Mus musculus: one gene and its partners. The protein of the gene in region 4 binds, or shares a complex with, the protein of the main gene of each other region. Links are inferred from orthologs where the notes say so. Each region holds a gene or a part of one and is shown on either strand. Other genes may lie near its edges.

Region 1 (3,500 bases), on a different chromosome or scaffold from region 4:
AAAAGGAAATCTGATACTATGTGTCATCTGAATAATTTAAACTAGTACTCCAGACAAAGTAGCACAGGAAGAGAAGTGCACCCATGTGGTCTTATCAGCTTGTTCTGCTTGAGACATTAAAACATAATAGTGTTCCAAGGCAGGCAGAAGAGAGGTCAATGAAAGACCTTGATAATGCCAAGTATACAATGAATTTCAGACTCTCTGGGAAGCTATAAATAATCTAAAAACTCTGAAAAGTATCACATAGATAAAAGATATTGTTCTCACCCTGACAAAGACTTGAGATGTAACAAAGAAATTAAAGAAAGCATGCCAACTATTTAACCTTAAAAAATAAAGGGTACACACGTGTGAAGCTCAAACTACAAGAGAGGGCTAAGTATAACTTCTAATTCAGCCTAACCAAGCCATACCCTATTTCAAAGAATTTTCTCAATGAATGGTGTGTTAAAGGGGCAGAAATTACCTGTTAAGTAAAAATGCTGACAAAAACTATAGAATAAATCAAGAATTCACAAGAAATGTGTAATACTTTACATAATTAATGCTATTTTCTTTTCCATCTCCTTAATAGTTCTCAAGATAAAGAAATAATCTTGTAATAATAAGATTGTCTTCCCTTAGGAAATCTATGTAGATGGCACTCACCTGTTCCAAAAAGCTCCTTGTGGACCTCTAACACCACAGCAACGCCAATGTTATCTTTCGTCATTACTCTGTTTAGCATTGCTTCGGATCCATCTGAATTTGCCATTGCTACCTGGTTGAATTCCACTGTATGCTTCTGCACCAATGTAAATCTAAAAGGCACATATATTCAGATAACTTGGGTAGTTATACTGTCAGGCTAACACATTGAAAGTAGAGGGGGCATGAGTATAAACACTATTGATAATCTATAGTCACATCTATAGCTACAGATGCTCACATTATATAATTCTGGCCAGTGAGAAATAAGAAATATGGTTTCTATAAACAATTTATGAAGGCCCATCTAACAAAGGTAAAATATATATCCTCTTCATCCTTTTATGTCTTTTCCCCTACTAGCTTCCTAGTAGGGGAAATTTACTATCTAAAGGACTAATACTAAATGTGAACTAAGCAGAAGGGTACAAGCCAATCTTCTGAGAATGAGGAAGCAGCTGAGCCAGTTCTCTCTAAACTGCTTCTTGTGTGTACAAAACTCATGTACTTAAGCTACTGTTCAGATTTTCCTGACATTTAAAGGTACATACAATCTTAAATGAACAGTTTAAAAGAGAAAGAATAAAGTCTACTTGCCAATTTTTAAATACCATATCAAGGTAACAGTCAAGAAAATACAGGAATATGATCTTTTTCCCAGCTAAAAATGATCACATCCTTGACTAGTTTTTACAGAAAGACTAATTAGGTATAAGTGTTCAGAGAAATAAATTATATTGTAAAAAAAAAAATGGATCTCTGTGATGATGGCAAGTTATAGTAGAATTGTAGAATATAATACAAATTCATCTAATGCTAACATTTAATAACTGTGAACTTGGTCAAGTTGCCTGTACTGGTTGTTCTGTCAGCTTGACACAAGCAAGACTTATCTGAGGAAAAAAAAAAAGCCTCTATCAGACGGCCTCTAGGCAAGTTAATATGAGAAGGCACAGTTCACTCCTGGGCAGGTGGTGCTGGTACAACCAAGTAGACTTGGTAAGCATAGATGGAAAACACCAGTAAGCAGCATTCCTCCATGGCCTCTGCTTCAGTTCCTGCCTCCAGTTTCCTGCCCTGACTTCCCTTAATGATCAAGTAAGTATTACTTCTAAAGTTTAAGATGAATTAAACCTTTCCTCCAAGTTGCTTTTGATCATGGTCTTAGAGTGTTAGAGGCCAAAAGTAAGATACTATTTAACATCAGTTACCCAATTTTATTAACTTTTTAAAATATCTAGAGAACCAAAATAGTTCTTTGGGGTAAGCCAGAGCCCCTGAACTTGAACTTGCAGCTAACTCTCTCTTCCTGCCTTTGATCCTTAGAAATGAGATTAGAACATGCTCTAACAGACATGGCTTAACATACTAATTTTCACTAGACTTTCAAAGACATGTTTTGCTTTCATAACAATCTACCTACCACTTTATAATCATTTCTAGAGCTGAAAATTAAACCACATACAACCCTTCAAAAATTATTAACTATAAAGCTTGCAATGCTGTAATATACCATGCTAGCTAAAATAATATTCTTCCTATCAGCTTCTTATTCCAATTCTGAATGTCTCAGATGTGCTCAGAATACATAAAGTGTAATGTGTCTGGTCACGTGGCCTATTTCAAACCCAGAGTTCTTTAAAAAAAAAGCAGTTTTCACCCTGTTCCCGTAAAGAGGTGGTCCTTAAGCTGAAAAAGCCATCATTGTGAAGACTGAAGTTAAGAGCATTTCAGGTAAAAGTGGGAGGAAATCCCAAAAACAGCAAATAGCTTTCTAAACAAACAAACAAACAAAACCAGATAAATGACAGAGAGAGAGAGAGAGAGAGAGAGAGAGAGAGAGAGAGAGAGAGAGAGAGAGAGAAAATGAATGAGAATATGGCAGAGTATGAAATGGTACTGGAGATAAAATAAACAGGGATTATAAGTAAAGAGCACTTGCTGCAATTTCAAATGGACAGACTTTGGTTCCCAGCATGCATAACAGGCAATGACACAACCAACTGTAACTCTAGCTCCATAGGACCTGACACTCTCCTCTGGTCTCCATGGACACCCACATATACATGACATACACATAAATAAAAATAAAGACATGTGTAGTGGCACATGTCTTTAATCTAGTTCTTGGGAGGCAGAAACAAGTAGATCTAAGTTCAAAGCTAGCCTGGTCTACACAGCCAGTTCCAGGCTAGCCAATGCCACATAGTGAAACTCAGTTTTTAAATAAATAAATAAATAAAAATATTTACATTCTACCAACACTAACTTAAGACAGTCACATCTTCTCCAACTACCATACACAAAATATGTTCCATGTGGCTTCTACTTTCTGTTGCAGAGAGAGCCATACAGGAAATTTTAAAATTCCTCTACTGTACTGGAATTTTTCTTTTACTAGCATGCATTGGTTTATAGTTACTTTCCAGTTATTAATTTTAGCTAGCAATCTTTGGTAATATGTAAAGTGTTAAGTTTGCCTTGTTTTTCAGATTCACCTGATGATTCTATTCTGATTAGTGTACTCTGCTTTGTAAGCAGCATTCCTAAAGCTATTTTATCATATTTAGTTCTGTGGTTTTTTTCTGTATGTTCACCTTTTTGAAAAATTTGAGCAGGAGCTCAAGTGAGTATATAAAGAACATAATCAAGACTGATATGACTACAAAACCAAAACTATAACAACAGCACAAAAAATCATATATTTGAGAAAGATTATGAAGAATCTCTTGTGTAGGAGAACATGTCCAAAATAAGCTTTCAAACAAAGAAGCAACAACTTCTTAACAGTGTGCAGTCTAGAATTAATT
Region 2 (4,229 bases), on a different chromosome or scaffold from region 4:
CAACCGGAAGAAGAAAGCAGGAGGAAGCAACACAGACAAATCCTCTCCCCGTGTGCTACTTTCAAAAACTGCTTCCAGAGGCTGTTTTTCCAGAGGGGGCCATGGTGAGGCCCCTTAAAAAAACTCCCACAGGAAGTGATTGCCACGGCTTCTCAGAGCCCATGGTGGATCAAGAGCAGGGATGGAATACACTGTGTCTCCCCTTCACTTCCTGGACCCTGGGCTGGCACTTTCCAAATAAGTTTAACATGTCTCTTCTGCCTCTTTCACCACTACCATAAGAAACACTGGCTGGTGCTGTTTACTTGCGTGTGCGTGTGTCAGAGACAACCTGGAGAAGGCAGTTTTCTCTGCATGAGTCCTGGGGATGGACTCAGGTGTCAGGCTTGAAAGAAAACACCTTTACCCACTGAGTAAAGTGCTGATAAAGTACTACTCGGGTGGTAGTGGTGCTGGCAGCTGGGTCAGCACACGCTTTGATGCCAGCCTTCTGAGGTAGAGGCAGAGGCAGAGGCAGGTGGATTTCCTGCTTTTGAGGCCAACCTGGTCTACAGAGGGAGTTCAAGGACAGACAGGGGCAACACAGAGAAATCTTGTCTCGAAAAAAAACCTAAAAAAAAAAAAAAGAAAAGAAAACAAAACAAAACAAAAAGAAAAGTGTAAGAGAGCAACTACGAGGACCCAACAGCCAGAACCATGCCACTTAACCCAGCAGAGGTCCAGAGTGCAGGTCCTCAGAGGCAGGCTGTCTTACACTCACTTCATCATCTGAAGGATGCCTGCACAGTGTCTTTGTGAAGGAAGGAAGCAAGCAGTGAAGGAACGCCACGTGACTGAGGTGCAACTCAAGCCGGGCAGTCCTGGATCTGGTGAGACGCTTCCCGGGAAATGATTCCAGAAGCAGCACTGTTTTGATTAACAAGGACAGTCCCGGTCCCGTCTAGACCCGGGCAGGCAATTGGCACCCTTCTTGCATCCCACACCAACAGGATCACCCCTTCACTTTATTCAGATCTGTGCTCAATACTATCCCAGCAGGAGCTGGATCAGCAGGGGCTCGGTGGGTAAAGATACTTGCGCCCTGATGATTGGATTTGATCCTTGAAAGCCAAGACATGCAAATCACCTTGGTGCTCAGTGATTAAAAGCACACACTGCTCTTCAGAGGGCCTGAGTTTGATTCCCAGCACCCACAACTACCTGTAACTCCAGCTCTGCGTGACCCAACTCCTCGGACAGCATCTTCAGGCATTTGTCCTCACGTGCATACACCCAAAGTTAAAAATAACTTTAAAAAAGGAATCACCTCACAATAGATTTTCTCTGATCACCTAGCTAAAATTCTATGGCAGTGGGTATAATGGCACACAACTTTAATTTAGCACTCAGGAGGCTTTATGTCTAGTGAGTTTGAGAATAGCCTGGTCTATATAGCGAGCTCCAGGACAGCCAAGGCTACATACATAGTGAGACCCTGCCTCAATCAATCAATCAATCAATCAACCAATCAATTCCGCCCCACTCTCTAAACATTACTTTCTTCAAAGAAATATAGCAGACTTTCCAGGTAATAAATGGGCTCTCATAATTCCCTAATGGGAAAAATTCCTGATGGAGTACCACAGAAAACCACAGAAATTAAGAACTTTATCTTGGGACTGGAGAGATAACTCAGCGGTTAAGAGCACTGACTACACTTCCGTAGGTCCTGAGTTCAAAATCCCAGCAACCACATGGTGGCTCACAACCATCCTTAATGAGATCTGATGCCCTCTTCTGGGGTGTCTGAAAAACAGCTACAGTGTACATACATATAATGAATAAATAAATAAATAACTTAAAAAAAAAAAGAACTTAATCTTGGGGCTGGAAAGGTGATGGCTCAGCGGTTAACAGCACTCGCTGCTCTTGCCGAGGACCAAGACTGGGTTCCCAGCACCCACAAGTGGTGGCCCACAACTGTGTAACTCCAGCTCCAGTAGACGCAATGTCCTCTTCTAGTCTCGGCAGGCACCTGCACTCACACACATAATTAAGACTTTTAAAAAGGAATCTCGAGGAGCTCGGGAAAAATCAGATGAGGAACAAGGTAAGTGAGAGCAGGCAGGAGACACAGTGAAACGTCACGCCTCTTTAGACAGTTTTCAGAATGACTCCACTGGACACGCTGACCAGAGGGAACTTTTTCAGTGGCTGAGCCTGGGGGGGCCTTACGGCAACCGTGCGTGCTCGGATAGACTTTCCCTTAAAGCGTCTGGACAGCGGCGTGACAAATTCAAGCTTCCTGCGCCAGAATTAACTTGGAGAGCAAGGCAAATGCAGTGCAATCAAGATGGGGTGCAGTAGAATCAAGATGTGTCACAGCAGAAAATCCACTGGACTCACAGTAGAGACAGCTGAGAAGAGTGAAGGGCACAAGTACCCAAGCGAAGTCAAGTGGCCCTCGGGTCCCCCACGCGGGCCCTGCCGTCCCCGCGCGCAGTGTGTCAGCCCCTGGGTCGCGGCGCGGGCGCCTCACCTGCAGGCTTGTCTGCAGCCATCTTCCCGCCTCGGCTCGAGTTCCTCCCTGTAGGTGGCGTGGCCCCGACTCCCGCCGCCGGGCTGGTGGTGAGTCCTACCGGCGGGGGACAACTCTTCAGCTCAAGCCCGCTCCAGTCGCCTCGGCTAAGGTCCTGGGCGGGCCACGGGCTGAGGAAGTGACGAAGTTACTGCTCGTCGTCTAGCAACAGCGCCAACACATCCGCCGGTGCAGGGCTGTTTTCCCCGCCATCCACAGCTTCCGTCCCGTAGCGGCCAAGGGAGACGCTACTTCCGGGGCGGGGCCAGCTGGGCGTGGGAATTAGGGCTGGCCTCGGCCCCGGAAGCGCGTCCTTCTGCAAACCCGGAAGTACACTAGTGTAGGTCCTGAGTGAAACACAGAAGGGGAAGGACTTTTTGTTCCGCATTTCAGCAAAATGGCAGGCACCACACCTGAGGTTTATGTGCTAAGCTCTGAGTCTCATAGGGGCTGTTTTTCCATAACAATGAGGATGAGAGAAGTGTTGTTAGAGGAGGCCACCTCCCCCAGAAAAAAGGCTTTTTTTTTTTTCAAAGTTTCAGAGCTGTTTTGTTATTTGTAGCCAAGTTGAAAAAGCCATTCAGACTGCATTATGCATGCGGTTTCTCTGATTGCGAGTCATGCAACCATTAACTTACTATGGTAGGTCGGTCTAAGACAAAAGCTTGATGCATCACGATTACTAAGCACAATGATTTAGATTCAAGTTCAAATCCTCTGCAAAAACAATACCCACTCTTCAACTACCCAGCTCCCAACTATCTCATCTCTAGCCCATATCGTGACAAATTTTTGTTTGTTTGTTTGTTTAATTTTTTGAGACAGAATCTCACTATGTATCCCTATCTGGCAGTCTTTGTGGCAAAGGCTTTAACCCTGAACTGGTTCTGGTTTTGCTCAATGACCATAGCCTTGGGTTCCAGAAGCACCTACTCCATTCTTCCTTTCCCTTCTAGAGAACAAACAGCATTTATAATAACAGAGGTTCATTTCACGGAGAGAAACAGACATTAAAAGCATTTGTGTTAGACTTTTTGCTTCTGTGATAAATACCCTAGAGGAGAATTTAAATGAGGAAGGATGGATTTTTTGCCTCGTGTATCAGAGTTTTCAGTCCCAGGTCACTTGGTTCCATTGTTTTTGGACCATTAGTGAAGCAGTGCATTGTGCCAGGGCACAAGTGACAGAGTAAAGTTGTTGCCTTCCTGGTGCTAGAAGCAGAGGAAGCTGGGAGAAGAAATAGTCTCCAAGGGCACATGCAACTGAGATACTTAGCCCCACTGGGCCGCACCTCCTTAATTTCCATTACTTCCTAATGATGCACCAAATTACGAATCTGCAAGTGGATGAATCCAAGGATAGCTCCAAACTGTTGGAATCCTATTATCACTCTCAAGGACTGGGGGCCGGGCCTCCTATATGCAGGCTTTTGAGGGAGAGGAACTTCATATATAAATGACAACAGCACTGAATTGTAAAGTGACCCAAATGGTGCTTTGATGGGAGCATAGTTAAGTATGTAAATAAATAAATCACATGGAGCTATTTATTTGGTTTACATTTTTCTATTTTCTGTGTAGCTTACCTTAGAGATCTGCCTGTTTCTGCCTCCCGAGTGTTGGATTAAAGGCTGCACCATCACACCAGGTACTCCTCATAAGACTTTGAAATT
Region 3 (3,500 bases), on a different chromosome or scaffold from region 4:
ATAAGTAAGGGCATAAAATAAGAATGTCAGGAAGAGAATCACCAAATTTTCCAAGTTAATGTATTTCCATTCACTATGGTTACAATTATTAATTACAAGAAATATTTTATCATTCCTAACATTGATTTAAAAAAGACCTACAGCATATTAATAAAAATATTAATAAAAACAGAAATAAAATTGTTATGTGAATGGTATACAGACACATACGCCTAAGACTGCTAGTGGATTAGCATGCCGTCTGAACTGGAAGTGGTACCAAGATAATAGCTAAAATCGACGCCTGAGAATAGAAAGGTCTACTCACTCACCTTATCCCTAATGTGAATGTTTGTTAAATATTCTGATGGAACATGGAAGTCTGCATAATAAAACAAACAAAGGTGTTACTAACTGATACTTAGGAAATACCTTTTAAACAATTTTGAGCACAAATAGATTCTCCTACCTATGTCTTGAGGCCGACAAGGTGAAGAAGCCCAGGGTGATGCAAATTTGGGATAGAGATTTCTGAACAAGTAAAAAAGAAGCCACTTTAAAGAACAAAGTAGAAAACTGTATTTCTAACTTAATTTCAGGAAAATGGGAAAAAAAGAATTCAAATAAAAAAATAAGCATCCTTCTTGGTTCCCTTTCTTGAATTTACTGCAACTTTATAGCAGAAAAGTAACCCAAGAGCGCTTCGCTTCCTCTAGTGCTCACCAACAGAGTGTAAAGCACAGCAAGTCAGAATATACTTAGGTACAAAATGGAAATTGTCTACTTTAAATTAGCGGTAACTAACAATGCTCTAAGTTCATTTCTACACTACTCTCCAATTATAGTACTTTCCATGTCCACCTCACTCAAAGCCGAAATGAGGAGGAGCCAGATTTCGTATCACTGAACACGTATTGTGAGTGCCTATTCTATGTTCTGAATAAGTTAAGTGATAAAAACGAAGACTGCTGATATTGGAAAACTTACTTTCTGTAAAAGTGTATGGCTAACTGGACACTGGCAGATAATTAGCATAACAAATGAATAATACTGGTTATATAATTAAATAGGGTGATCAGTTTAAGTCCGATTTGACAAGCTTAGATGTAAACAAATATTCAAGGATATAAGAGCGATAATCACAGGTCAATAGCTAGTAGAACACTGTACTAGCCAAGGGGAATATTAGAACAACTGAGGCAGAGACAGCGTGACATGAGAGGCAGAGGAAGGCAGGGAAACACTTCCAAGGTGGAGTCAGAAGAAAGGCAGGATGATGTGAGCGTTGCAGGGCTGCCACTCAGGGAGGTTTAAATCAGAGCAACAAATCTGTACTTGGGGCTGAGCACAGAAAGAATTATCTTGAGTGCTACACAAAACCATACAAAAAGAGCAAACCAAGAATCCCTGCTGTGATATGCTGGCAGAATATTCAGGCAACAAACCAGGGTGGTAGCAACTTAATGAGACTATGATTGGATTCTGTATCTACTTGAAAGGACTGCATCTGAGAGAAAAGGAGAGACTAAGGATGATGTCGTTTCTGGAAGTATTAATGGAGATCAAAAAAGCATAGCCATGGTGTAGGTTTAACCCAAATCTTAAAAGAGATATTTAGCTAATAACGGCATCTAAAATCTCAAGTTCAAGAAAAAAAGTCTGCCATGGAAGTAGGTGTTTGGAATTTTCAATCTATGTGGTCCTTAAAAGCACAAGTCTAGATAAGATCATCAAGAAGACAATCCAAAGGTGATATGAGCAAGGGAAACTGAGGGATGAGCCAACGTTACCAGGTAAGAATGGTATCTTCAAAGTCAAGTGAGGAAGGAGCACCAAGAGAAAGTGGGGATGCTGCAGAGCGCTTACTGGAATCACAGGAACGGATTCCTCGCAACAGTGGATTCAGTAGAGTGAAAGAAGACAGGTTAGAAAAATGAGGATGACTCATTTGAGACGGTTTGCTTCCAAAAAAAAAAAAAGAATTAAGAATGAGGATAACTCAAAAGAGGTTGATCAAGATAATGTAATTTCAATACAAATAGAAAAATAAGTTTCTCTGTATTTGGCACTAGAAATGTGAAAAGAGAAATGCTGTAAGTTGGAAGGAAATCATGGCATGTATGTGGCTATAACATCATCACTCACACAGAAGCAGGAGTGCTTTAAGGAGCCACCTTGGACTACACTACACCAGCCAAGACCATTTCCAAAGTCCTGGGGGGAAGCGGGCTGAGGGTGTAGCTCGGGGGCACAGCACTTGCTTACTGTGTCCAACACTGGTTTGGATGCCAGCACCAGGAAAAGGAGAAAAAATTAAGACTCCCACTCATGAGTTTTGATGAAGTTTTAGTAGGAAGCATGGACCAAAGATTTTGGCAAGGTCATGTCAGATTTAGATTGGTGGCAGGTCATTAGATTTGGAGGCAGGACCAGGTTAATGTCCTCTTCTATCTGCTTACACCTGTCTTTGTAAAGTAGAAATAGAAGCCAGGTCATTATGAGAGCTACGGACAGGAGGAAATGCTATTCCTGGCTTGATGAAATTCAAAACAGTCACATAGGATAACAGCAGCAAACCAACCAACCAACCAACCAACCCAAACACATCCAAAAGCAAACAAAAGGTTCTGAAAGGATTATGTCATCAGGTAGAAATATGGCTGCTCAGGGCGGTGGCGGCGCACGCCTTGAATCCCAGCACTGGGGAGGCAGAGGAAGGAGGATTTCTGAGTTCGAGGCCAGCCTGGTCTACAAAGTGAGTTCCAGGATAGCCAGGGCTATACAGAGAAACCCTGTCTCGAAAAAAACAAACAAACAAAAAAACCAAACCAAACCAAACCAAACCAAAAACAAAAAACAAACAAAAAAAAAAGCAAACAAACAAAAAAAACAAAACAAAAGAAGTATGCCTGCAAAATTTTGGACTCAAGTTTAAGTTCTTGAGCATCAGTGTGCAGCAGGACCAGACAGTGAAATTACACTTTTCTGTAGTCCAACCAGAAGATGGTCAAGAATCAAACAAACAGATACAACAATGGGTACAGACTTTTAAGATGAGAAGTGAGAAGGGCAGACAGTCAAGCTTGCCTAAGTGAGCAATTATGATTCATCATAAAATTTAATGGTGAGAAGGATGTGAGCTCATCAAAGAGGAGGAGACAAGAACACCGAGGAAGACAGAGAGCTAGAGAATGAGAAGTCGCAATAGAATCAAATGATATAGAAGTCACAGCCACAAGAGAGGCATGGGAAACAGTGATAGTTAAAAAGCAAGCAACAAGGTAAACTTAGTTCCGAATAATGACAAGATCAATGGGCTGGATAAAGATGTGGCTTGGGGACTAACCCAAATGCCTTGTAGATGGATCCTTGGTATTTCTCAGTGATCTATGGGCTAGCTAGAAAGAACAGCCCAGGAGTATGCAGGCTGCTGATGAGATTAGCTACAAGTCTGAGGCTCTCTGTGGTGGCACAGGATACAGGATAACACCTATAATGCCTGCCTGGGTTACTCTGTCTTC
Region 4 (3,500 bases):
TTCTTACAGCTTTATTAACAGTATTAAGAATGGTGCTTGCCCTGGGCAGTGGTGACTCATGCCTTTAATCCCAGCACTTAGGAGCCAGAGGCAGGTGGATTTCTGAGTTCGAGGTCAGCCTGGTCAACAAAGTGAGTTCCAGGACAGCCAGAGCTACACAGAGAAACCTTGTCTCAAAACAAACAAACAAACAAACAAACAAAGAAACCCAACCAACCAAACAAAAAAGGGATGTAACTTTGTAATCACTTACTAGTAAACAGACGATGTCAAAGACAAAAAATGAACAAGCTATAAGTGAACCAAACACACAACTTAGACCACTATTATCAGTAAGAATTTCAGGCTTACTAATGTCCCTGATAACTTACCTAGGACATCAATGCCATTCAGTTGGTAGTGTGCTTGCCTAGAACGCATAAAACCCTGGGTTCAACCCTCAGCTCCACATTAAAAACCATATCAAGTATGAGGAAGTATGCTTGTAACCCCAGCACTTTGGAGGCAGAAAGTAAAGAATAAAAAAACTGAAAAAACTTCAGGAGTATCCTCAGCTACATAGTAAGCCTGAGGCCAACCTGGGCTACATAAGACCATTTCTTAAGAAAAACAACAACAACAAAAAAACTTACCAATAACTCCAAGGCTGGTGAGCCGAAGATATTCAAAGGGACGAGTTTTGCTGACTGTGTGCAAAAAGGGGTACAAAAAGAGTGGGATGTGTGCTGCCAGAAAAGCTGACCTGAAAGAAAGGACAACCACAGTCACAACCCAGGGCCCACTACGTCTGAGACAGAATGTGAGACTGCCTGCCAGGGGAAGGAATCCTTAGAAAAGATTTCACTGGCTTTTTGTGACCAACATTCTCAATGTATAACGTTGTCCCAGAGGAGACATGTGTTAGTATCTGGAGATGTATTTGTCAGAAGTGAGAGATGTTGAGGGCTACTTAGCATCCAGCCACAGAAGCCAGACAAGTCTACATTGCTAAGAAGGGGAACTTCTTGCCCTCACTGACACACCATAAAGACTCAGCACAAAATGTCAATGTGATACAGCAACCCAGGCTAGGATGATTAAACAACACAATTTACTTTTAATCTGCACTAAGTGCCTTAAAAACTGATTGACTATAGCCAAACAAACAAACAAACCTCCCAAAACGAAAATCAAGCCACAAATGCTAAAGGCAATGTGTTGCTGTACATCTACACAGAACCTAGCAATCAGGGCCCGCCTAGAGCAGGAGAATTATGATCATGAGTCTGGGGCTAGCCTAGAGACACCGTCTTCAAAAAAAGGGCAAAAGCTACTTTACTGGGAAAGAGATTCTTCAGGAGGCTGAAAAGATGGCTTCTGGTGATTAAGAGAATTTGCTGGGACCTAAGTTCAATTCTTCTATTTCCCATAGTTTATAACTGCCTCTGGTACTTTCTAGTTGCAGGGGGATTTTCCAGGTTCCTCAAACACCCAGACAAGGGTGGCAGCTGGGCACATGTGTATGTCCCTCAACACACATGTATGAGAGCGCTCGCTCGCTCTCTCTCTCTCTCTCTCTCTCTCTCTCTCTCTCTCTCTCTCTCTCTCTCACACACACACACACACACACACACTCTCACACACACACGAAGAGTGGCCTTAAACTTACTATGTTGCTGATAGTGACTTTGAACTTCTAAATACCCAAGTGATAAGATTACAGATATACCCAACTATGTCCAGCTACTTTGCTGTGTTTAAACATATTTTTTTTCTTGGTTAGGCATACTAAATACACCAAATATTTTGAAAGCACTTGAATTTGCAACTAATACAGAAAACCATCTACTACTACTTATGTACTTCTTTTAAGTGAACATAAGTATTCTCTTCTTGGATAATCAGACTAGGAAAGTCTCACTACATTAAGTAACCCAGATTGGCCTTGAATTTGTAGTAATCTTCCTGCCTCTGCCTTCCCAGCGGTGGAATCTTAAGTCTGTGCCACTAAGCCCATCTAAGACAAAGTTCTTAGCAGCTTTTTAAAGTTTCTGACAAGTCAGCACTAACTAAACACTCAGACTTTATAAGGAAACTAGACAAAAAGAAGGCAATTAAAAGCTACAGCAGACTGTTTCTCTCTATTTGTGTGTGTGTGTGTGTGTGTGTGTGTGTGTTGGTAGGGAGTGATGCATTCATGCTCCTCTCTCCTTCCACCATGTGAGAGTCCTGTGTGGAACTCAGGTTGTCCAGTTTAGGCACAGGCTTCTTTACTGCTGACCCATCTCACTAGCGCAAAGCAGATTCTTGACCAGGGTTTTCCCTTCTTTTTCATGTATGACAATATGGCAATACAGCTATACCTTGCATGTCAACCCCCATCTAAATTACAGAGGCTGCCTAGAATTCTAAACTAAGAAGGACTCTGACACAAGGTGTAATGTCACACACCTTTAATCCCAGCACTGGGGAAGCAGAGGCAGGTGGAGAGTTTGAGACCAGCTAGAGTCCCTAGACAGCCAGAGCTACATATCAACTAACCAGATGCCCCAGAGCTCCCAGGGACGAAACCACCAACCAAAGAGTACACATGGAGGGACCCATGGCTCCAGCCGCTTTTATAGCAGAGGATGGCCTTTTAGACATCAATGGGAGGAGAGGCCCTTGGACCTGTGGAGGTTCAATGCCCCAGTGTAGGGGAATGTGAGGGCAGGGAGGCAGGAGTGGGTGGGTGGGGGAACACCCTCATAGAAGCAGGGGGAAGGAGGATGGGATGGGGATTTCTAGAGGGGAAACCGGGAAAGGGGATAACATTTAAAATGTAAATAAATAAGTAAAATATCTAATAAAAAAAGTGAAAAACAAAAAAAGAAATCAAATCTGAATTTTGTGAGGAAAAAGTGCTTACAAATATTTACTGAGTTCCTATTATATGACATGTACCATGCAACAATCTTGGCCCAGTGCCTTCCACAATTTAGAAAAGAGAAGTGCCCATGTATGTGCTTATCATATATTATCTTTCCTGTGATATGACCATTGTTCTTTAAAACTTTGCTGTTGTAAGATGACTCTGATTAAGTAAACATAAAATAATTACTTAATTTTGTTTTTTTGGAGCAGGGCCTCACTCTTTAGCAAGCCTCCTTCCTGTCTTAGCCCTCTGAGCACTGGAATTATAAGTATGAACAACCATGGAAGGCTTAAAGCTCTTTTTATATTTGGGGTTGAATCACTGACAGAAAATATCCTTTAAGGTAGTTACGCAAAATCTTTCCAATTAGAACATAGCAAATCACTAAATTAGTAAATTGCTCTTATGTTGTTAAAAGGTACGAAATTGTATTTTGCTTTACTTTAAAACATGTCATACTTAATTTAAATCTGTAACCAGAAACTAAAAATAGCTATCAAAGTTAACACTGTAGAAATATATGTCAATAGTAACAGGAAAACAAGGAAAAGGTGGGTATGGTGGTACACTCCTACAATCTCAGCACCTGGGAGACAAAAGGCCAAGG
Region 5 (3,944 bases), on a different chromosome or scaffold from region 4:
CTCCATTGCCTTAACTTTTCCAGCGTCTCATGGCACTAGAAGCTTAGACTGACACTGCTATCCTGGCAAATAGCAGGCAATGATGATCTCAAGGCAATGCTGGGGCCAGGCAAACACAAACTGCCTTGAACAGAACATCTGGTTCTTGGAAAGGCTTTTGTCCCTCGCTGCTTTGCTCGCCTAGTTCTCTTCTGCCTTAGGCAACAGCCATGCAAGTCCCACATCCTGGAACGAAAGATGGGCTTCCTTGAGAGGCATTTTTTTTTTTCTTGTTAGTTCCTGGAAGCCATTTCACGCTCAGTTCTGGGCTGATCTGCCACGGAGGTCGGGGTAGCTATTTTCCTTCACACAATTCCTGTCAGTCTATATCGCCAGTGTATTTGAAGCCTGTTGGGCGTTACTCTTGCCCGTACACCATGACGCTGACTCGACAAGGTGGAGCTTGATTAATCCCTGTGTCCTGAATACCAGCCAAGTACTTTTTCCTGATGTAAGTATCATTAATCAGCCCATTCCTTTTCCGGTTTACCTGAAACCACATGTCCTGAGTAGACTATGTTAGCCCTCGAATGCAGCTATAGTTCGTTACTTAAATTAGGACCCCATAATTTAAAAAACAAACAAACCCTGCCTATTAATTATTTTTTTCCTGCATAGTTAGGGCAGGAACAATTAGTTGACTATTGAAGAGTGTAAGTTTTCTTTCTCGGAAGATCAAGACACTGGATAGGGTTAAACGTCTGAGAATTTAATCTGTGCTCCCAAGTGATTGACAGGCCAAGGAAAAAGCAAAATGAATCAAGAGGAGGAAAAAAAAATCAAGGGTAAAGTGGAGATAAAAGTGGACGAGAAAGAAAAAGAGCAACTAAACCGCGGAGAAACAGCTTTAGGAGAGGAGGAGACAGAAGGCGCGGAGAAGGAAAGGCGCAGAGAGAGCGGGAAGAGAGGCTGGGAGGGCGGGCAGGAGCGCGCCGGGCCGGCTCACTGCTCCGAGACCGGGGGGAACGCGGACGGGGCTAAAGCGTCGGGCTGCCAAGAGTCCACCCCCGCACGACGCGGGATAGTCGCGCCCAGCAGCGTCAGCCAATGAGAAGCCGGGATGTTGGAGAGGCGGCGGTGAGCGGGGCGTTCGCTGGCTGGGGTGGGAGGGGGACGGCGGCCGCCGCCATGATGCTTGTTTGCTTTCAATGAAAACGAGGGGGGCGCGGAAGAGGAGGCGTCGGCGTCGGTGGCGGCGGCGTCGACGGCGCGGAGGCGAAGGCGGCGGCCGGCGCGGCGAGGAGGGCGAGGCCGGGGTCCGAGAGGGCGGCAGAGCGTAGCGGCGGCTCGTGGGGTCCGGGGCGGCCGAGGCGGGCGGCTGAGGAGCGGCGGCCGAGGAGGGGGAACAAAGAGCGGCGGCGGAGGCGCTGCAGCAGCGGGCGGGACTGGTATGGTGGTTCCACAGGGCAGACCCCGCTGCACTCATCGGGAGGAGGCGGCGGCAGCGGCGGAGGAAGGCGGCGCAGCTCGAGAGGTGAGCGCGACGGGCCCGAGCGACGTCCCGCCGAGGCTCTGCTGCCTGCGCTCCCCCATCCCCCCCCAGGGGTCGCGCCCCGGCGGGGACCCCGAGCGCGCACTCGCGCACAACTTAGGAGTTCTCGGAGTGACGTCTGTCCGTCCCCCTCCTTCACACACAGCGATCGCCATCCCGTCGGTCCCCTGGCCGCGCCCCCCGCGCGGAGTCCCGGGGCTCGGCCTGGGTTGGGGGTGGGGGGTGGGAGTGTTGATTGACGGCAGTGCGGTGGCGTACAGAGGGCGGTGGCGTGAACCCTGGCTTCTCGGACCCCCGCCTCCGGCCGGTCACGCACCTCAAGAGAGGAGCTGGGGTGCCGGGACTAGGGACAAACCGGTGGCAACTTTGGAGAAGTGGCTGTGCTGGGGGGGGGGGGGTGTGCACTGTGCGGCGTGGAACTTGGCACTCCGTGGATTGACTTAATGCTCACCCTTTTTCTCCTAAAGTATTTTAAAGTCCGTTTAACGCAGATATTGGTAGGGGCGGGGCGGATTACGTGGCCAAAGAAGTGATTATCAGCTGAAGAGATTATTGGACTCAGGACTCAAGTACTAATTTCTGGAAGAAAATTTCCCTAGTTTAACCTAGTTTCAAAGACAGTGGTTATTTACTTTGGTGACCCCCCCTTCCCCCCCCCCCCCCCCCCCGCCTTGACTCTTTCTACCCTGACAACGGTCTTCAGAGACTGCTCATAAGCAACTGTAATTCTTTACTTTTAACTGTTTCTGCAAGTGACAACATTGTGCACAGGCCATCTTGTTACTGTGTTTAAATAATCTGCTAGAATTTGAGTACAGGTAAACCTGTTTTACAGGTAGATTGCCTGATTGACTACTAGGTCTAAATTCTTCTCTGCCTCTGCTTGGAATTTTAACTTTGGAGAATAAATGAAAAAACAATTCGGTGTGTAATAGCACTGTCTTTCCCACACTAGAAATTTTCACCATCCCGCAACCGTTCTGTAGGCTGGTCAAAAGATTGTGAAGGCGTATTTTGCTTTTTGTAATTGCTGCCAGTCTTTTGAAGTTGGCGCTTTGAAGAATACATTTTAGAATTAAAATTACGTGGAGCCAGTGGTCTAGTCAAATTCTCTGACCTGGCTCTGAGGAACCAAGCCTAGAATGAAGAGACTGGATCAGGATGTTAGAGTTAGGAGGGTAGTCATAAAGCAGACGTTAAGGGTGATATAGTTGTTAAGTATTTGGGGTTTGGAGAAGGAAGCGGGTATTTTTATCAGGTAGATATTAAAGTAGGTCAGGTAGCCATTTCACAGGTGCACAGGTGCTTGCTAACGTGGACAAAAATGTATGTGGCAGACATTTTCTAGTGTGACTGGAATATTCTTGAAAGAGAATCCTTGTATAAGTTGAGATGTATTATGGTTGCTGGGAAATTTCAGGCTTTTTTTTTTTTTTTGAACAGACATAGACGCTGATATACAGAACTTGGTCCTGACTACAAATAAAGGCATTATAGGAATTTGCCTACTATGCATGTAGTTTTAACTAGTATTTTGGTTAATGTTTAAACATTTGACTGAACCCATGTTAACTTTACAAAAAAAAAAAAAAAAAAAAAAAAAAGACATCTTAAAATACAGTCCCTGTTAGCCTGAATCTTTCTTTGTAGAATGGGCTGGCCTTGAACTCAGAGATCCTCCTGTTTGTGCCTCTGGAGTGCTGAGGTTAAAGGTGTCCAGCACCATGCTTAAGTTTTCATTCAATACAGCCTAGAAAGACAGTATAAGTAAGACATACTGGAAGAAATGCTTGGAGTATCCTTTGGTCCTTGTGTGGTGAGGGGTCAATATTTCCAGCACACATGCAGCCCTCTCCTCTGACAAGGTCCACTGGCTAGGAAGCTCAAGCTTGCTTGTCTTATCACTGTGGAGAAGAAAGATCTGTTAATTTTTTTAAAAAAAGATTTATTTGTTACATGTAAGTACACTGTAGTTGTCTTCAGACACACCAGAAGAAGGTGATCAGATCCCATTACAGATGGTTGTGAGCCACCATGTGGTTGCTGGGATTTGAACTCGGGACCTTTGGAAGAGCGGTCAGTGCTCTTAACTGCTGATCCATCTCTCCAGCCCGAGCTCTGTTAATTTTTAAAACTTTTTAGCTTCTACAAAATAAATAGTTTTTCTTAATTGTACCTGTTATTTAGGCTATGGAGGTAGCTATGTTACCAGAAAGTTAAGTGCTGACCAAACACAAGTATAACTGTATACCGTGTACGTTTGAGGACAGTGGAATGCAGTAGAGTTTGGTGTTTGAGTAAGTAGTTTAAAGATTAGAAAAGAGTGATTATTTGAGTCTAAGATGGAGGCTGATTCAGGCTGCCTTAATTTTACTCTTTGGCCTTTACTTTTTTGTTGTCTGTTTATATATTT
Region 6 (4,202 bases), about 35 Mb from region 4:
AGAATTGATATAACCCATTCCAGACGTTCAGCCTCAGGAAGGGAGAGGAAGTGGGTTCTACAGTGAAAATGAACTCAGTTTGTGGTAATGGCAGAGAAACCCTAGAAACAAGCCCAGTGGAAACAGGGAAGACGCTCTTGGTATTAATCTTAGTGGAAATCAGCTCTATTGGCGGGTAACGTGCTGTGCTCAAATACCTTAAAACATCTCGAAACACCCATACTGTACTAACATTTAAGTTATCAACTAACAATAAGTTATGACAATAACTAGCATGAGTGGGTTTTAGTATGATTAGTTGTCATAGAGCATCCAATGTAAAAAGGCTCAAAGAGAACATAGTTGACTAATTAGTAGTAGTAGTAGTAGTAGTAGTAGTAGTAGTAGTAGTAGTAGTAGAAGAGGTAATTTGAATCATTTGCCCCGTTTGGCAAGCTATATTTTCTGCTGATTGCAATGTTCATTGGCAGAACCCCTCCACAGGTTTAACAGTAAACTAAAGAGGCCTTTAAAATATGCGCCATACCCATCACCTGTTCCTGAAGATTTCCTTGAGAACTTCAGCGGTAAATAGAAAACTTTCAGCTGCCGAAGAGTTTTAGCACAGGGTAGCTAGCAGGTGACGCTGATGACAGTCGCTCGGTTTCTGTAACTCTAGAGTGGATACTAGTCACCACCGGAGCATAGGGGTGGGGAGCGGGCAGCGGTGCCTTTGAAACAGATCACAGGGGACCAGGTCCAGGAGGCTGGTATGTAAAGAAATTTCCAGGGTTTTCCAGTGTTCAGCCAAGGCGTCCAGAAAAAGTGCCCTAGGGCAGGCTAAGGAAAAAGAAGCACTGCAAACGATTTTGTAAACGAATATTTCTCGAGACAGTTTTCTCAGATTTTTTTTTTTCTTTCTTTTTAGACCAGGCTGGCCTCGAACTCACAGGGGTTCGTCTGCCTCTGCCTCCCTGGTGCCGGCCTCGCCTAGATTTTTGTTCACATAACCAAACGTTTATGTGCGGTACGACCCCATCTCTGAGAATACGAGCAAGGCTCGAAATTTAAACTGTTTCTGAGAATCCTGTTTTCATTGGTATTTACAAGAAATGAGCCGTCAAGGATGCTCTATCAGACCAGTTAGCATCTAAGACCTAGTTTCCAAATTATAACTTAGGCAATATTGACTGGGCAGGTTTGGCGCCACCCTGTCACCCAAGGATCGCTTCTGAGGGCTTTAAGGGCAATTAACGGCGGTCTCTACATCACTCAGGCAGGGAAGGACCACTCGGACAGCTCAGAGACCACGCGGCCCCGCCCTCCACGGCGCCCCGCCCCCTTCCGGACACGGCGCCCCGCCCACTCGCGTCTCCGGAACCTCCGCTCGGCCAGCGTCGTCGGTCTGTCGGCCCTGTGTCTCCGTTCCGCTCGTCTGACTTAGGCACTGTTTTTGTTTGCGACGCTGTCGCGGAAGGGTGCGCTTTACGGCCGCGGGAGGACGCAGCGAGTCGGCGCCTTGGGCCTCTCGGCCGGGAAGCGGGGTAGGCGGGCGAGGTTGATGCCCGGCGGCGGGGCGAGCACGGCGTCTGGCCGGCTTCTCTCCTCAGCGGATCCCAGAGGGGCGCGGGAGGCAGCGGCGTTCCGGAGCGGCCCGGCGGGCTCGAGCGGAGGCCGAGGCGGAGCAGGCGGCCCTGGGCCAGGGATTGGAGGCCCCGCGGGCAGGATGAGCCTGACCCCGAAGGAGCTCTCGAGCCTGCTGAGCATCATCTCGGAGGAGGCGGGCGGCGGCAGCACCTTCGAGGGCCTGTCCACCGCCTTCCACCACTACTTCAGCAAGGCCGACCACTTCCGCCTGGGCTCGGTGCTGGTGATGCTGCTGCAGCAGCCGGACCTGCTGCCTAGCGCGGCGCAGCGCCTCACGGCGCTCTACCTGCTCTGGGAGATGTACCGCACCGAGCCGCTCGCCGCCAACCCGTTCGCGGCCAGCTTCGCGCACCTGCTCAACCCGGCGCCGCCCGCCCGCGGCGGCCAGGAGCCCGACCGGCCCCCGCTCTCAGGTACGTCCCGCAGCCAGCCGTGCGGGCGCAGCCAGCTGTTCTGGGGTGGGGGTGGGAGGGGGGTCGTCAGCTAGGGACATTCAGCCTCCTTGGAGGGGATCGACCCTCCCTCCTTTTCCATACTTTCTTTCCCTAAAATAGGGGAGAGATAGAAGTTGCAAGTTTTGTTTTTTTGGTTTTTTTTTTTTTTCAAATTCACTACACTCCAGATGATCCCTCCCAATCGAAAAAGCCAACACATCGTACAAGCCCACAAACGGGCTGGACATATTTTAGTATGCCAGATACGGTTCATTCTTGATTGTAAGGTCCTGAGGTATGCGAAGTTACAGCCAATGGCACTGAGTTTACCCCCTTTTTAAGCCTCCGAGTAAAGAAGTCGGTATTAAGAACCTGAGGTTGAAGTCCACATCACCACAATATCTAAAGTCTTTGCAGCCAACTCCTTGGTTAGCTGTAATGTCGCGTGAGGAGAGGATGAAGTCGTTTCTAATTAACCATTCAAAGATGCATGTGTCCTGGGCAGTATTGTGGAATGTTTGCTTTTGCAGCATTGCTAAGATCAGGCATAGATTACACCTGAGGATGCGCCCCTAAATTTGGTGCTGTGGATGGAACCCAGGGTCACTTCCTCTATACCATGAGCCTCGTCCAGGACTCTGGGACAGCTGTACCACTCACAGGCTGACATACATGTACATATGTACATATATATAGATATAGAGATAGAGATAGAGATATAGATATACACACACATATACATATATATATAATTTTTAAAGTATGTTTAAATTTGTAGGAATCTAAGTATTTGATAACAAAAAGTTCTCAACAGCTATTAAAACCTTACGTTTCATTGACATTTCCATAGATCACAGAATCTCAAGCGATATATTTGTTTATGGATTACTATGTGTACTAAGTGTGAATATTCAATCAGCTGGAACTCAGTTACATTTAGATCATAAGAATAGCTCCACGTGGCAAGTAGCAAAGTTTCCAGTTAACTTTTAAAGTTAAATTTTAAAACTTTACCAGTACCCATTGGCGAGAAACCGGCATGCATTCTTATTTGCAGGGTTCCTGCCTCCTATAACTCCACCAGAAAAGTTTTTCCTCTCCCAGCTCATGCTGGCACCCCCAAGGGAACTGTTCAAAAAGACACCTCGCCAGATTGCCTTGATGGACGTTGGAAACATGGGACAGTCTGTGGACATTAGCGGCCTTCAGTTAGCCCTGGCAGGTGAGGGAGGGCCAGTGATTGGGACATTCTTGTCGGTTCTTGAGATCCCCTGCTTAAAATCAACAAGTTTTTTCTTTTAAATTTACATTTCTGCTGTTTTTGTTTGATCCTCTCCCATCCTGCCCTGCCCTGTCCTTTCCCTGTCTCCCTGTCTGCCACCCCCTCTTTTGTTTGTTTGTTTTGAGACCAGGTTTCTTTGTGTAGCCTTGGCTGTCCTGGAAGAGCTGGGTAGAGCATGCTGGCCTCTAACTGAGCTCTTACTGGCTGACTCTGAGTACTCAGGCACGCAGCCCCAGGCCAGGCCCGCTCCAGTCCCCATCCCAGATCACACCCTTGTACCCCAGCACCTCCTCCACTCTCTTTTCTGTTTCCTTATTCTGTGCTTCTGATTGACACCCAGCCTGGTCTCTGCCCCGCACCTCCCTCCCTGCCATCCACCTCACTCCATGTTCTCTTTTGGAGTTATTTTAATATTATTATTGTTTGGTTTATAGGGATTAAAGATATTTACTTTGAACTCCTGATCTGTTCACGATGTTCTCAATTTTAAAATGTTCTGTGCCACCCTGCCCCTCCCCCTGCCCCCCAGGCTGGCCTTGGGTTCTTGACTCTCGTCTCCGCCTTCCAGGTGCTGGCATTACAAGGTCTAGCTTAAATGCTTTGAATGCTTCTTGTCTGAATCTGTTCCAGAGCGTCAGTCTGAGCTGCCAACCCAGAGCAAAGCCAGCTTCCCAAGCATCCTCAGTGACCCAGACCCGGACTCGTCCAACTCTGGATTTGACAGCTCAGTTGCCTCTCGGATCACAGAGTCTTTAGTCAGTGGCCCAAAGCCACCTATTGAAAGTAGGTATATGGGGCTTAGTTCATGTTCTCAGGGTTGTACTCTAGCAGCACTCGGGAATTCTACGTTTCTTACAGTA

What was found.
Region 1: Cnot9 (region 4) and Cnot6l share a complex: the UniProt entries of both Homo sapiens proteins name them as parts of the CCR4-NOT complex. The link is inferred for Mus musculus from reciprocal best matches to the Homo sapiens genes CNOT9 and CNOT6L.
Region 2: Cnot9 (region 4) and Cnot10 share a complex: the UniProt entries of both Homo sapiens proteins name them as parts of the CCR4-NOT complex. The link is inferred for Mus musculus from reciprocal best matches to the Homo sapiens genes CNOT9 and CNOT10.
Region 3: Cnot9 (region 4) and Cnot2 share a complex: the UniProt entries of both Homo sapiens proteins name them as parts of the CCR4-NOT complex. The link is inferred for Mus musculus from reciprocal best matches to the Homo sapiens genes CNOT9 and CNOT2.
Region 5: Cnot9 (region 4) and Cnot6 share a complex: the UniProt entries of both Homo sapiens proteins name them as parts of the CCR4-NOT complex. The link is inferred for Mus musculus from reciprocal best matches to the Homo sapiens genes CNOT9 and CNOT6.
Region 6: Cnot9 (region 4) and Cnot11 share a complex: the UniProt entries of both Homo sapiens proteins name them as parts of the CCR4-NOT complex. The link is inferred for Mus musculus from reciprocal best matches to the Homo sapiens genes CNOT9 and CNOT11.

What each region holds. Positions count from the first base shown.
Region 1 is NC_000071.6:96,085,491-96,088,990, forward strand, and holds part of Cnot6l (CCR4-NOT transcription complex subunit 6-like), read right to left. Parts: intron 804-3,500; coding exon 652-803; intron 1-651. UniProt on the Homo sapiens protein: Has 3'-5' poly(A) exoribonuclease activity for synthetic poly(A) RNA substrate.
Region 2 is NC_000075.6:114,637,401-114,641,629, forward strand, and holds the start of Cnot10 (CCR4-NOT transcription complex subunit 10), read right to left. Parts: upstream 2,801-4,229; 5' UTR 2,541-2,800; coding exon 2,519-2,540; intron 610-2,518; exon of another isoform or gene 1-609. UniProt on the Homo sapiens protein: Component of the CCR4-NOT complex which is one of the major cellular mRNA deadenylases and is linked to various cellular processes including bulk mRNA degradation, miRNA-mediated repression, translational repression during translational initiation and general transcription regulation.
Region 3 is NC_000076.6:116,494,512-116,498,011, forward strand, and holds part of Cnot2 (CCR4-NOT transcription complex subunit 2), read right to left. Parts: intron 511-3,500; coding exon 449-510; intron 362-448; coding exon 312-361; intron 1-311. UniProt on the Homo sapiens protein: Component of the CCR4-NOT complex which is one of the major cellular mRNA deadenylases and is linked to various cellular processes including bulk mRNA degradation, miRNA-mediated repression, translational repression during translational initiation and general transcription regulation.
Region 4 is NC_000067.6:74,519,560-74,523,059, reverse strand, and holds part of Cnot9 (CCR4-NOT transcription complex subunit 9), read right to left. Parts: intron 743-3,500; coding exon 633-742; intron 1-632. UniProt on the Homo sapiens protein: Component of the CCR4-NOT complex which is one of the major cellular mRNA deadenylases and is linked to various cellular processes including bulk mRNA degradation, miRNA-mediated repression, translational repression during translational initiation and general transcription regulation.
Region 5 is NC_000077.6:49,709,923-49,713,866, reverse strand, and holds the start of Cnot6 (CCR4-NOT transcription complex subunit 6), read left to right. Parts: upstream 1-1,144; 5' UTR 1,145-1,513; intron 1,514-3,944. UniProt on the Homo sapiens protein: Poly(A) nuclease with 3'-5' RNase activity.
Region 6 is NC_000067.6:39,534,299-39,538,500, forward strand, and holds the start of Cnot11 (CCR4-NOT transcription complex subunit 11), read left to right. Parts: upstream 1-1,402; 5' UTR 1,403-1,540; coding exon 1,541-2,039; intron 2,040-3,117; coding exon 3,118-3,282; intron 3,283-3,972; coding exon 3,973-4,125; intron 4,126-4,202. UniProt on the Homo sapiens protein: Component of the CCR4-NOT complex which is one of the major cellular mRNA deadenylases and is linked to various cellular processes including bulk mRNA degradation, miRNA-mediated repression, translational repression during translational initiation and general transcription regulation.